Linked DNA regions of Macaca fascicularis. The protein of the gene in region 2 purifies or fractionates together with the protein of the main gene of each other region. This does not show direct contact. Links are inferred from orthologs where the notes say so. Each region holds a gene or a part of one and is shown on either strand. Other genes may lie near its edges.

Region 1 (6,690 bases), on a different chromosome or scaffold from region 2:
AGTGATCCTACAGCCCCCGGACCGGCTCTGTTCCTGCCCCTGCAGGGCTGCAGTGTCGCCCACTGGGCCTGATGGCAGCGACCGTGCTCGCCACCTGGTGGTGGGAAAGAGGTGCTCATGGTGGAGGATCGCTAGGCCAAAAGAGAAATTGCTCACAAATGAAAAAAACCATGCAGGGAAGGTGTTTCTATGCATCTTTCATATTCTTTCCGCGCAGTTATTGAAATTCCTTAAACTCTGTGCTTTTCTATAGCTGGTAAGATCTTAACATTGCTCCTTGTTTTCTCACAAATGTTGGGGATTTGCCTTGTAATTGCCAAGACGTTTTAAATGTTTCTTAATTATTTGAATGATTTTGCCACTGCTTCTGAAAAATTTTTTAAAGCAAGTAGGTGGGGACATGAGTGTCATTTAGTTTTGAATGGAAAAGGGACTTCCTATTTCTACAGATGACATGACATTTTCCCTAGGTGCAGACTTCTGAGTTCAGGAGAAGCCAGGCTGTGCTTCCCTCCTGCAGGGCACTCAGGGCAGAGACGGGCAGGTGTGAGGGCCCATACTTCACAAAGGGCAGCTTGAAAGGGGATGTGGAACAGCTGGGCCAGGGGGAGGAATCTTTTAAGGGCCAAGTAGAGGAAACCCTTTCTCATCCAGCAGACCAACAGGCAGGAGTTGGAGAAGAACTCAGAGAGACAGGTATGCACCCTTTTGAGAGGGCCGATGTCTGCAGTTTCTTCTAACCCCTGGTTATGGGGAAGGTGTGGAGGGCGTTTCACATGCAATACACCTGGATTCTGAGGAAGACTTCGGGCTGTCACTAGGAGAGGCTTTGATGATAACATCAGAGACAAACTGTGGCCCACTAGGAGGGTTTCTGTGCCTCTCCCCAGTGCCTTCCTCATGCTTATCCCAGGGAAGGTTTCATCTCAGCACCAGCAAGAACGGAGGGACTGGCCAGTGCACCCTGCACTGCAGGGAGAAAGGGCTGCTGGTGTCTGCCTTCTGGGATTGTAGGAGCCAAGTGGGAAATATGAACAAGAACACAAAGACAGGCACCTGTAGTTCAAAGCAGACATTAAAGGGCTGAAAGAGCAGCTGCTGAGCATCACCTGGAGAAGGCTGAGGACGCTCCCTAGTGATGGGGGAGGGGCAGCACTGAAAGTGCTGGGTCAGGGTCACATTCTGACGTCATCCTGGTGCCCCCTGAAAGCACTAGGAAAAGGCTTCATTTTAATAAAAGCAATATTGAGTTTTAAAACTTACTTCCAAAGTGTTTCTCTTGTTTCAGAAGACATGGATTTTAGTAGAGTTTGGGGCTTTCTTCAGACCTTTGTGCACCTTTTAATTCAGTTAGTCTACTTCATATTACTTTTTTCCTTGTTGAGTTTTTATTTATATTTGAAAGATTTTTTAAATGACTGCTGCTTTTAAAAATACACCTTTGAAAGCCATGAATTAAGAATTTATCACGCTTTTGAAGTATTAAAGAAAATGGCAAGAATTACTTTTTTAGTGTAACATACAATGGAATAGCGGTGTTGACACATCAAAGGGATAGATACCTATAAACAAAATATGGGCATGTTTCCTTACTGCCAGAAACATATATCACATTTCAAAGAGATTCGAAATTAAGGAAATTTTATTTTTCTCCAAAGAAAAGTGGCTAATTTCTATATCACCACTTTGCAGGGCATGCGGAGGCTTTAAACAAGTCAGATTTGTTTTTCTTCTCTGTCGAGTACTTCCCCATACATCTCTTTAACAGCCTTGCCAGGGAGACACAGGGGAATTATAGTCACCGGTTTACAGATTAGAAAAGGAAGACCCTTGATTCAGTGACTTACCCAAGGATAGGCAGCTAGTAAGCTGCAAATCAAGATGAGAAACCCAGATGCCCTTTTCCTGAGTTCCATTCTGCTGCTCACTACTCTGAACTAGTGTATTTCAATGATGTCTAAAGACCTTCATATGACATAGGCTATCCTTACACAGACTCTTAGTTGCATAAATCCCTGGGTACGTAGTATATTCTAAAATGACTTACTATTCAAGTATACAGTTCTATAATGCTGTATTCTAATTTAAAAAAAAAAACTTTTGCAGCTGAGTGTGGGTGAAATTTTATGATAATCTGACACAGATAATGAGATGTGCTATGGGTTGGAAGGGAAATCACTTTTAGCTCATCCTCTTCCTTAAACAGTTGAGCCCAAATTAGCCCACAGTGGTAATGTGGACTAAAATTGTTTCTTAATTGCTGAAATTCTTATCAAATTAGGGTTGGGAATGTTATCGCCAAATATTATGTTGGAACAAGCGTTACTAAATTCGGTATTTAGGGTGACCTTTACTATTGCTGTGAAATGTTTTAGGAAAGGGTTCCCAAGTCACAGATCTGTGTCAGGATTCTTAGTCTTTGTTTAGTTTTTTTGTTTTCATGGTTGTTTCCTCCTCAATCTTCTTCCCCAACTCAAAGGACCATGTTATTTACCCATTTAAAAAGATTCTAGACTACCAGCAATTTTAAATTCTCAGTGACATTGGTGATTGGGCATGATGCTCTCTCCCCATTCTTCAGCTTGGCTGTGTGCAGCTCTGCCTCCGACACTCCTTGCTGAGTGTCCTGTTTTCTGTCTGTGGAGCCCATTCACATTTTCCCCTTGTGATCTGTAATGCTTATACAATAAGAATCTTTCTTTTCTTTCAGTTTTCATATTTTGTTACAATCATTTGAAAATAATTTTTTTCTTCCTAGATTGAGATTGGAAGAGAGAAGAAAAGAGCTGTTACAGAAACTTGAAGAAACTACTAGATTAACTACTTATTTGCATTCACAACTTAAAAGGTGAGCTTATCAGATTTCTGAGGGGAAAACTTTGAATACATTCAGGCATATTCTTGTTCATCTCTGATTACTTTTCACTTTATTTCCAACTACTTAAAAGTAAATAAAATCATTATACTAGTACAGTTAATATTTGAGTGATCAGATTTAAAGTCACATTTTCTTTTTCATGAACCCAGTGTCATATTTGGAATACATTTGAAATATGTTATAGAAAGAAGATATGTTTTAGCTGTCAATACACTTAGGAAAATAACACATTTTTCCCATTGCCCCATTTTTTAAAAAGGGAAAACGGGGGAGTTTTGCCTTCAAATAGCCATAGATTTCCTTATATTGATGAAAAAAAAATTCACTCCTCACATTGACACACAAAGAGGAAAGATGAGCGAAACCAAGGGTCTTTTGTGTGACTTCTTTCTTTTTATTAGCTTGCCTTCTTTTCTCTAAAAATAAAAAGCTTTTTTTTTTAAAAAAAATAAAAATCTACATTAATGTTTTTGCCCTGTTTCTCTTTTTTTCTTTCAATATTTTTTAATCACAAAGTGGCTTCTAGATGTCTGTGCAAATAAACTTATCAGCAAGTATTTGATTCTTTTTATTTTTGCAAAAGGAGGATAATGTTTAATACTACTACTAGCTACTTAAAGAGTATTTGGAGAGCAAGGCTGAAAAGGTTAGTGAAGAAGCATAGACATGGTATACAGTTATGTGCCACATGATGACTGTTTGTCAAGGACAGACTGCATATATGATGGTGGTCCCATAAGATTATAATACTGTATTTTTACCGTGCTTTTTCTAGTTTAGCTATGTTTAGACACACAAATACTACCATTGTGTTATAATTGCCTACAGTATTCAGAACAGCAACTACTGTGCATGTTCATAGCCTGGGAGCAATAGGCTACGCCCTATAGCTTGGGTGTGCAGTGGGCTGTACCGTCTAGGTTTGTGTAAGTACACTCTGTGATGTTTGCACACACAGCCTGGAATCAGTAGGCTACACCCTATAGGTTGGGTGTGCAATGGGCTGTACCATCTAGGTTTGTGTAAGTACACTCTGTGATGTTTGCACACACAGCCTGGGAGCAATAGGCTACACCATATAGCTTGAGTGTGCAGTGGGCTGTACCATCTAGGTTTGTGTAAGTACACTCTGTGATGTTTGCACACACAGCCTGGAATCAATAGGCTACACCATATAGCTTGGGTGTACAGTGGGCTGTACCGTCTCGGTTTGTGTAAGTACACTCTGTGATGTTTGCACACACAGCCTGGAATCAATAGGCTACACCCTATAGCTTGGGTGTGCAGTGGGCTGTACCGTCTCGGTTTGCGTAAGTACACTCTGTGATGTTTGCACAGTGATGAAATCACCTAACATGCATTTCTCAGAACTCGACCTGGTTGTTAACTGACACGTGGCCGTGATAGGGATTTCCTCTGTCCCTGGCCATTGATTCCATTCTTAACAGGTTTCTGCCCTCTGCAGATCTGAAGGAGCCAGTAGGGATTGTGATAGGTTTTCCATTTTGTAGCAGATTTTATGGTGTGTGCTTTTCATCTTTCAGCCTCTCTGCCAGCACCCTGTCCGTGTCATCTGGGAGCAGCCTGGGTTCCCTGGCATCAAGTCGGGGCTCTCTGAACACCTCCAGCAGAGGGTCACTCAACTCCCTCAGTTCCACTGACCTCTATTACAGCAGTCAAAGTGATCAGATAGATGTGGATTATCAGTATAAACTGGACTTCCTTCTGCAAGAGAAAAGTGGTTACATTCCTTCCGGACCCATTACCACCATCCATGAAAACGAGGTGGTCAAGTCCCCCAGCCAGCCTGGCCAGAGTGGACTCTGTGGGGTGGCAGCTGCAGCAACAGGCCACACTCCTCCGCTGGCTGAGGGCCCCAAGTCTGTGGCCTCCCTGTCCTCGAGGTCCTCCCTTTCCTCCTTGTCTCCTCCAGGCTCTCCCTTGGTTTTGGAAGGCACGTTTCCCTTGTCTTCTCGTGATGCCCCTCTCCATCAGTTCTCTGCTGACTTTGAAGACTGTGAATTGAGTAGCCATTTTGCAGATATCGGCCTTGTCGAAAATCAGATTTTGCTGGATTCTGATTCAGGAGGAGCCTCCCAGTCTCTTTCAGAGGATAAAGACCTTAATGAATGTGCTGGTGAGCCATTATATGAAGGAACTGCAGGTAAATGCAGCCCTTTGCTTTCATGTATTCCCTCTTGGTGATTTTAAGGAGGATGATTGGAGGGTTATTTTTCCATATAAACAAAAGGGTATGATTCCCCTTCTCTTTCTTTTGAGTAATTGTTTTGGCTTCATTTAAGAAGGAGTTTTTACTTATATACCTAGATATTTTTCATTATCAAATAAAAATCACCTTCCCTATTTAATAGACTTAATCATTTAGTACCTGTTCAGTTGTCCAGAGACACTCTGTGTGTGGTAGCTGACGAGGAACGTATTTTGTGAACCCATTTCATATTTCCAAATAGATTCCGGTTCTGAAATAGCAAGGCAAAGAGGATTGTCTTTTAAAAGTTGGCCTAAAACAGATTAAAACCAAGGCAATTAACATACTAGCTAATTAGTACCAAGGTTCAGTGTTTAGATTGTTGAGGGAATTCTATATAAATACAGTTTTTGTTTCAAGCCAGACTCTCCTTTTCTGGCAAAAGTTAATTTGGAGCAGCAGGTTGCAGTGTATGGTATTACCCTGCCACCTTCTGGCCAGGTGAACTGTTGCAGCCCCGGGAAGAGATTACTAGAGATTGGAGTTCTTAGGCCTGCATTTGTATTCAAAAAGACAGAAACAGGAAAAATATAATGTTTTGTTTGTTTGTTTTCCTTTGCAAGGCAGGAACTTTGAATATGTTAGATGTGATTGTAAAGAGCACAAGATGGTACTCTTGTTGGCAGATGATCACTGTTGGTCTGAGGAGGAGGATCTGTTCCAGAGCTAGCTTGAGACAGAATGTGAAATAAAAGCCCCCGTGCTAGTCTAGAGGAGTCCTGTTCATAGCTACATGTTTTACTGACGAAAGAGGGCAGGGCTCTTTAGAAGTGCTCTTTTCCTGTTCCTAGAAGCATTTTTATTTGTATGTATGGTCCTAAGAATTCTAAGTAATCGATTGGCCAATTCAGATGTGTAAAGACATTGACAAATCCACCGTGTTTCTGTGGTTTCAAATACTGAAGACCCAAGTGCTGTGCCCTGCCAGTGGCCTGGGGCAGAGGGAGGGCCCATGAGACATCTGTGTGGTTTGTGCGCCCCCTCCTGGGCAGATGTCAAAGCTACAAGTAACAGGTTATAGAAATAACCACAAAGAAAATAACCAGGGGAATGGTGCATACGTAATGGCCCCAAAGAAACAGAAAGCCGTGTGGGGCCTTCACCACTGCTTCTGGGAAGGAGTATGGTTGTGTGTGTGTGTGTGTGTGTGTGTGTGTGTGTGTGTGTGTGTGTGTTAGGGGGTGCATACCACTCCTGGAACCAGCCAAGCCTCCACTCACACTTTAGTCACCAACATGTTTGGGTAAGCACACTACCTAGTCTCTCAGGATTGTGGTTCCTTATCTGCAAAATGGGGTTGCTACAGTAATCCTTGTGTCAGGCTGAAGGATTAATGCGGTGATACATGTGAAGCACCTAACCATGTCTGGCACTCAGCACACAGTTCATGATAATTATTAGTACTCTGTGACAGTGATGATGATAAGTAATAAACTCTGGCTAAACACAATTCTTACCATAAACTATGGAAAGCTATGAGAAGAAGAAAGAGAAGAAAGTGAAATGTTCTCTGTGCCCGTGTTCCATCCTGTGCTTTGAACTT
Region 2 (7,337 bases):
TTTGTATTGCCTTTCTGTGATCTATTCTAAAGAAAAAGAAATATGACTGGTCAGATACACTTTATAGGCTTTTATATTAATAACACATTTTTTTCTTTTTCAAGAGAGGATCTCACTCTATCACCCAGGCTGGAGTGCAGTGGTGTGATCTCAGTTCACTACAGCCTCGACCTTCCGGGCTTATGCAATCCTCCCACCTCACTAGTAGCTGGGACTACAAGCCTACAGCTACCATGCCTGCCTAATTTTTGTATTTTGTGTAGAGTTGGGGTTTCGCCATGTTGCCCAGACTGTCTTTCTGTAGGTAAAATTATCTAAATTTTTAAAATGCATCTACAGGGTTAGTACTAAATCTTGGTGTTACTTATCATTGAACTCTCAGCCACATTCATTGGAGTCTCAACATTGATTTTCATCCGAAGGCGGTGTGAAAACAGTCCTGTCCCCAGACACTGGCTTTATCCACTGGCTTTATTGCTTAGCTTCCTCCATAGACTGCCATCTATCTGGAGAAGTGTACTTTGACGCAAGTTTAGACCTGGGAAAGACCTCAGAGATGAACTATTCCAACCAAGCTCTGCTCTCTTTGCCACACTCCACTTAGAAAATAAATTCAAGCCTAGAAGTGAAGTGGCTTGATCAGGCTGGCTTCCGAAGGCTGGTCAGAGGCAGAACTGGAACCCTTGTGTCTGCACAAGAAGGCCAACAAGTCCTTTGCTGCTTCTTTTATGCCACAACAGTCTCAGGGTGCTGTGCTCAGTTTGGTAGCATAGTGGTGTTAGAGCAACAAAATATATTTCCTAGTGTCTTTCCACTAGAAAAGACACCAACACCAGGCCTCCCATCTCCCAGGAAAGAGCAAAAGCCAGAGTTTTACATTGAGAGCCTGAAGGCATTTTCTTATCTTTAATCCTAATCCTGTTTGGGTCCAATTTCAAAGAGATTAAGAGCATGCACTTTAGGCCTGACAGACTAGGGACCTGATCATATCTTCCTAGTTGTATGACCCTCAGTGAGACAGGTAATTTCTTCATGCCTCACTTTCCTCATCTAGGAATGGGGGAGTGCTTTCCACACTTTCTGGAACACAGTCAGGCACTGCCTAATGTTTTCTTTGGAAACCTAGCGCGTCTGTACAGCTATTTCCTTTAAAATGTGAGAAAGTTGATTTCCCTTCAACCTTTTCTTTCCATCACTTTTGCATTGCACTCGGCGTTTTCTCTAATTCTTTATAGTTCTAGAGATTGGCAGATGCTCGAAGAAAATCAGAGTCACTACGGATTTATTTATTTTATTTCATTTTATTTTTTTGAGACGTAGTCTGGCCCTGTAGCCCAGGATGGAGTGCAGTGGCGCGATCTCGGCTCACTGCAACCTCCGCCTCCCGGGTTCAAGCAATTCTCCTGCCTCAGCCTCCCAAGTAGCTGGGACTACAGGCGCACGCCGCCACGCCCGGCTAACTTTTTGAATTTTAGTAGAGACGGGGTTTCACCGTGTTGCTCAAGCTGGTGTCGAACTTCTGAGCTCAGCCAATCCGCCCGCCTCGGCTTCCCAAAGTGCTGGGATTACAGGTGTGAGCCACCGTGCTTTTTGGTTTCCAGTTCTCTTCCCCAAGAGGCCAGGAATTTTTGCATGAGTTGCCAGACACTGAAGTGATTTGGGACAGCACATTCTGTGACAACGACTTCAAGGCTCTTTTTCAACAAAGGACTGGAATCTTAGCAAGATAACATATCCCAAGACATGTTAGCAATGCAAAGGACCACAGAAATCTAGACAAATTCTTTATTTTTACAGCTACAGAAACCTAGGATCTCAGGGGCTGGGATACTCCTCAGTTATCCAATCGGGCAGGGCCTAAAACTCAGGTTCAGTCTCCTGGCTCCAAGCTTTTTCCATCATACCAGCTGCGTCTCATTAACTCCACCTCCGAAAGTGCTAAGGAAGTTCCCTCCCAGTGCCTACCCAAGCAGGGTGGGGCGATTCTGTGGCATGGAACAAACCGGGAAAACGACATTTTCCAACTCTCAGCACAGAGGCTGCTTTTTATCATTCCTAGGGGGCAGGAGGGGGCAGGGAGAGAAGGCTAAGACACCGGGTCCAGTACCCAGAGGTTCTAGGGAGAGATCTTTGAGATTGCCTACTCGGTGAGGCCACCTTACTTTCTCCTGGTCTGTTTTCCCCTGTGAGGTGGCTGCATGAGGCGTCCTGCTTGGAGGGTTCCCCAATATAAGGTGGACTGTCCTTGATCTAGGTCGGGGTGGGCAAGATCCTGCCGCCACCCCGTCTCTGCGGTCCTCGGAAGTCTAGGTGGGATCTTCCTTTCCTTGCCTCTTTCTTCCCAACGGCGGGAGCGGCACAGGGTTGGGGTGGTTGCGGTCGCCTCGCTCTCTCCACTTCAACGTCTCTTACTCCAGGGAGTTTCATCCGGTCCTCCGTCCTCGGCCCCCACCTTTTAAAACATTTTCCAAAACTACACCATTAAAAGTGCGCGACTTCTCCGGGCCTGCAGAAGGAGCTCCTGCAGCCCGGCATTCCTCGGATTCCAGCGCTGTGACGTCCCCAAGGACGGCGCGCCTCCAGCTTGGGAGCTCTGGAGCTGGGGCTCCACGTTTCAGCGCGCGCCCGCGGCGCCCCCGGCGCGCGCCCTCCCGGGCCGCATTCCTCCCCGCCCCCGGCCGCGCGCCCCGCGCTCCCTCCGCCTCCAGGCCCCCAGCGCTGCCGAGCCCGGCTCTGGGGTGGGGGAGCCGTGGCCGCCGGCGCTTGCTCCGTCCCCTCCCACTCGCACGGCCCCTTCCTCCCTCCTCTGCCGGCCGCTCGCATTTCCTGCCGCTCTGGCTCTCCCGGCCCCTCAAAGTTCTTCCCAACTTTTTCTCCGTGGAGTGAGCGCAGGGGACGCAGACTCGGGGGCAGGTTGCTGTGCTCCTCCGGGCTCGGCCGCCTGCTCTGCTGGCTCAGGTCCTTGGGGAGCCCTAGACAGACACAAGTGGCCACTGGCGCTCCTTCCCCTCCCAGCTGAGCCATCCTCCCCGGCCTCCTGGAACGGGACAGCCAGTGCTTAGGTTTTTCTCCTTTTCTTCCCCGGTGCGCCTCTGCTCCGACTCTCGCGCCAGGATCGCGGCGGAAACCTCCCTCCCCTTTCGCCTCCTGCGGCTCCTTCCCTTCGCCCCTCCTCCGCCAGCCACTGGAATCAATTCCGTGGGGAATCGGGGCTTCGCCGCCGCGAAGGACAGCCTTTCCGCGCGGGACTCCGGGGCGCCACGGGGGCCATGTAAGCAGGTAAGCCCCGTCCAAGCCGGGGAGTCGGGCCCGAGGTTGGAGGCCGCCTCGGCGCTCCGGGCGCCCTGCAGATGACTTGGGCAGACGCTGGCAACGCCAACTTGCGATTGGCGGCCCGGGACGCCTGGCAGGGCAGCGGGGGCGCTGGGTGGCCGGGCCGCAGGGGTGTTATATCGCGGTGGGAGCTGCCCGTGGTGAGGCGCAAAGCTTGTCCCGGAGCGAGCTGGAAGGTGAGCGCCGTCTGGGGAGTTTGTGGTTAAACCCACACCCTCGTCTTCTCTCTCCCTTCCCTTCTGCGTTTTGGGAATGAGAGAGGGCCTCGGAGGGGCACCTGGAGATACCTAAACCTTGGGGGCTAGAGGATGAAAGACGAACGACGTCGCGGTCGCTGCAGCGGTAGGGGGACGCAGCTGCCCGACGCCCCGAGTTACCCCCCACCACCACCGGGAAGGGATCTTGAGGCGAGCGGAGTTTTCCTGCCCTCTCACTAGGCCTCAGTGGTGCCACCGAACTCCTGGGCGTCGAGGCTCCTACTTGGGTGGTCGGGCTGGCTCGTAGAAAAAAGCTGTGGTCACACAATTTCAGATCAGGTCTCCACCTCAAACTTTTCAAGTTCTAGGTATTAACAGCCTCTCCTTCCCCACGTGACCCCCAGATCTCGGGTTTGAATACTTGTAAATGGGTTTTACACCTTTTCGTTTGGAGAGAGCAGTGAGGTAACGCTGCCCCTACCTCCCTTTTCCTCTCACTTCCTTCAGTTCCTGTCCTCCAGCCCCCTCATCCCCACCTACAATTTCAGAGATTGTAGGGTTTCCGCTTAAGTCTGGGGACTGGCTGTCGCAGGTTCTTTGTGAAGGTGAGAAATCTCTAGATTGCAGGCGCGGGCAGTTACAGAGTTTCCACCAATGTGTTAACTTCTTGAAATGGATTAGTTTACTCATTCATCCAACAAACCCAGCTTCCACTCTGCTAGGAACAGGGGATAGAAAGATGCTAAACGAGATCACAGGGCAGGAGTCTGCAGCCTAGTGGAGGAAACCTGAAGGCAGATGAAGAATGATAATGCGTGGAAGATGGGTTCTGTGAGAGTCTGAGGCGAGCTTGGTCCTGGTGAGGCGTGCACTGCGCTTAGAGAATGGAGATTGTGCTCATCTGGAGGGTGTATTCCAGGCAGAGGAAACAGCTGGTGCAGAGTGAACACAAGAAGGACCGAAAGTTTCCCTAGCCATCTGGGGGCCCAAGGGGCATTTATGGCCATGTTGGTGCAGTGTTGCTGGGATAGCATTCTCTCCACCCCCAATATAAGAAATTAATCTAGGAGTGCGTTAGCCACTGATGGGAACCACAAGTAGCTTCCAGTGGAGCCAAGGCCTCCCTCTTTGGATACACTTCCATGCCTGCTGCTGTTTTACCACAAGCAGCTGTTGTATGATCATCTAAATTTTAATTGGCCCATGCTCGGTTTCGTTAACATGGTATTGATTATTCTTCTTTTTTATCCCCCACATTCAAACAATGATTCCTTTTTTAAAAGGCTGCTTGACAGCCATAGGTGTGGTAATACAAGGCTTTACGGACCTTGTATTATAAAGTTACCTAATTGTTTGGTGATGGGGTTAAAGCTTGTGCCATAGAAATGACAGCCTTAATGAGCGGGAGCTGAATGGCATGATGCCCTTTTTGCCCAGTCTGAATGGGTGGCCATGTGGTGCAAAATTAGTTCATCTGTATGTCACGAAGTTTGTTATACTTTTCTCTACTTTGAAGTCATTACTATTGCTTTAGCACGCACAGTTGTAAGGACTGTCGTTCTTCTCTCTGAAACTTTATGAAAATAGAAAACACTATCTTCTTGCAGATTTTTGTAGCCTAATGGCCCAGGATTCAGCAAATCCTGGCTAGAAAAGTTTCTTACAATGCAGTAGCGTTCTGTACGTGGTTTGCCTTTCAAGGGTGCCTCTTCACTGGACTGAAGTGGTGCTGTAGTATTGTTCCTAGTGGCTGAGTCCTGGCCGAGGTGGCAGACATCCAGCTTTTGGTGACCTCAGGCCAGTACATCAGAGTAGGAAGAACACAGTGACTTCCTACACCTTTGGGTGTTTATCCAAGCCCCTCGACCAGCATCTTTTCTTATCTCAAGAACAGCCCCTTCACAGAAGGTTTCCTGAAGGTGTGGGGACCTGCATGAGAGACATGGTTGAAGAGAAGCCCTTTCCCGCGAATCCCAGGCATTTGCCCAGTTTCCATCATTGGCTTCAACATGTAATTATTATTAACACTTGAGTTATTCAGGTTTGTGCATACTGTGTCACGCTGGTAGCTGTACTAGAAAGAACAGTTAGACTTTTAATAGGGAAGCACCATAAGGAATTCAGAGAAAAATCAGAATTTTTAGAATAATTCTTACTTGCCCTGGACGTATGGGCTAAGTGTCAAGAACTATGAGGACTTTTTATTTTCCAGTGCCTTCCTTCCTTATTAGAGGTTTAAATTTGCTCCAGGGAAGCAAACATCAACCCTTTGATTGCATATTATAGCCCTCCTGGGTTTCATATTCTTGTCATTTTTGAGCAAGGATTTCGTCAAATTCTTGCATTTGAGCTTCATTACTTAGTCACCAAATGCTGTGTTTTTAAAAAATTCATTTTAAGCCTCAGAACAGTGCTGTGAGCTTTGTTAGAGATAATGCATGAGAAAGAGATAAGATGAAATACTTAATTAGCCAATTAAGGAATGAGGGAAAACAAACACTAAAGCTTTGGTAGGGAGGAAGTTCAAGTTAATGTCTAAAATACGTTTTTGGATCTCCCCTTACGGATTTAATTTGATTTAATTAATACTTCCTCTGTATGCATCTCACCGATGGCTTATTGAATGGTCCAAGGGGTATGTGTGGTAAGTTCTATAGCTTTTCCTGGCTGTCGGTGTGCTAGAGCAGGCGGTCCAGGTTTGGGAGTTTGAAATATAACTAGGTTGGAATTCCAGCTCTGCTATTTTTTAGCTGTGTGATGTTGGATGAACTTCATAGCCCTTCTGAGCCTCAGTTTCTTCATCTGCAAAATGGATCTGATAACATTTAGCCTCTCAGGATGTGTATGGAGAATTCAGTGTCATGCTGTATAACAGCACCTCACACAGAATAGGTCAAGGATGGCTATTTATATGTTCAAGGACTTGTATGTGGCCATGAATGTTCTCTTTGTGTGTTATTTTTTCAGCAGCCTGAATTCACATGTGTGTAAACATACACATAAAGCTTTGTCTCTAACTTTTTTTTTCAGTCTATTGGCTCAAAACAAACATGTTGGCTGGCAGCTGCCATGTGGCCCCTCCTACAAGAGGAAATTGAGAGGTAGGGGACCAGGCAGTAGAGAAGTTTGAGGAGGGAAAGCCACTGAGAGATTAGAAGGGCAGAGAAAAAGATCTTTTTCCCTCTATAATTCTTACTGTAATCAGGGGCCAGTATTTTATGTAAGGATCCTTGTATTTCTAATGTTGAAATCTAGTTAAAGAATGTTAGGGTAACTCTTGCCTTTAACAAGAGTACAAAAGCTAGCTGATATATCTTTGCAGCCTAGTGAAGCCCAAATATAAAGAGTAAACTGCAATACTTCTTGTGTAATGCCAGCCACTGGTTATTTGAACTTTAATGTTGTCTTTCATCTGAGAAACCTAGAGTATTTGACAAACATTAAATTATTGATCTTCATATCAACCTCAAAGTGCAAGGGAATGTTAGAAGAAAGGAACAATGTTAGAACAATGTTAGAAGAAAGCATGTGTTCTTGAAACAGAGTGGCAAAGAATTGGTTAAGTCTTTTCTGCAGGATGGCATGCAGGCCTGGAGATCATATGAAGGTGTCCTACCCCTTTGGGGAATCAGGGGCAGAGAGCCCAGGAAAATGCAGGCCTGACCTGGATTTTTGCAATAGGAGGGGAGAGGAAATGTATCTTGCCCAGACCAGCAGTGCCTTTGCCATATATTGCATGCATGCTGATTATGAAAATAATCTTATAATTATTTATAATTCTGAATTAAAGGATATGATGCAATGCTT

What was found. Proteins that work in one complex are often made in the same cells at the same time.
Region 1: the proteins of PTPN14 (region 2) and WWC2 purify together in Homo sapiens (affinity purification with mass spectrometry, with the first as the bait; 3 studies listed by BioGRID). This does not show direct contact. The link is inferred for Macaca fascicularis from reciprocal best matches to the Homo sapiens genes PTPN14 and WWC2.

What each region holds. Positions count from the first base shown.
Region 1 is NC_088379.1:188,037,554-188,044,243, forward strand, and holds part of WWC2 (protein WWC2), read left to right. Parts: intron 1-2,758; coding exon 2,759-2,848; intron 2,849-4,422; coding exon 4,423-5,042; intron 5,043-6,690. UniProt on the Homo sapiens protein: Regulator of the Hippo signaling pathway, also known as the Salvador-Warts-Hippo (SWH) pathway.
Region 2 is NC_088375.1:72,329,780-72,337,116, reverse strand, and holds the start of PTPN14 (tyrosine-protein phosphatase non-receptor type 14), read left to right. Parts: upstream 1-2,689; 5' UTR 2,690-3,279; intron 3,280-3,382; exon of another isoform or gene 3,383-3,509; intron 3,510-7,337. UniProt on the Homo sapiens protein: Protein tyrosine phosphatase which may play a role in the regulation of lymphangiogenesis, cell-cell adhesion, cell-matrix adhesion, cell migration, cell growth and also regulates TGF-beta gene expression, thereby modulating epithelial-mesenchymal transition.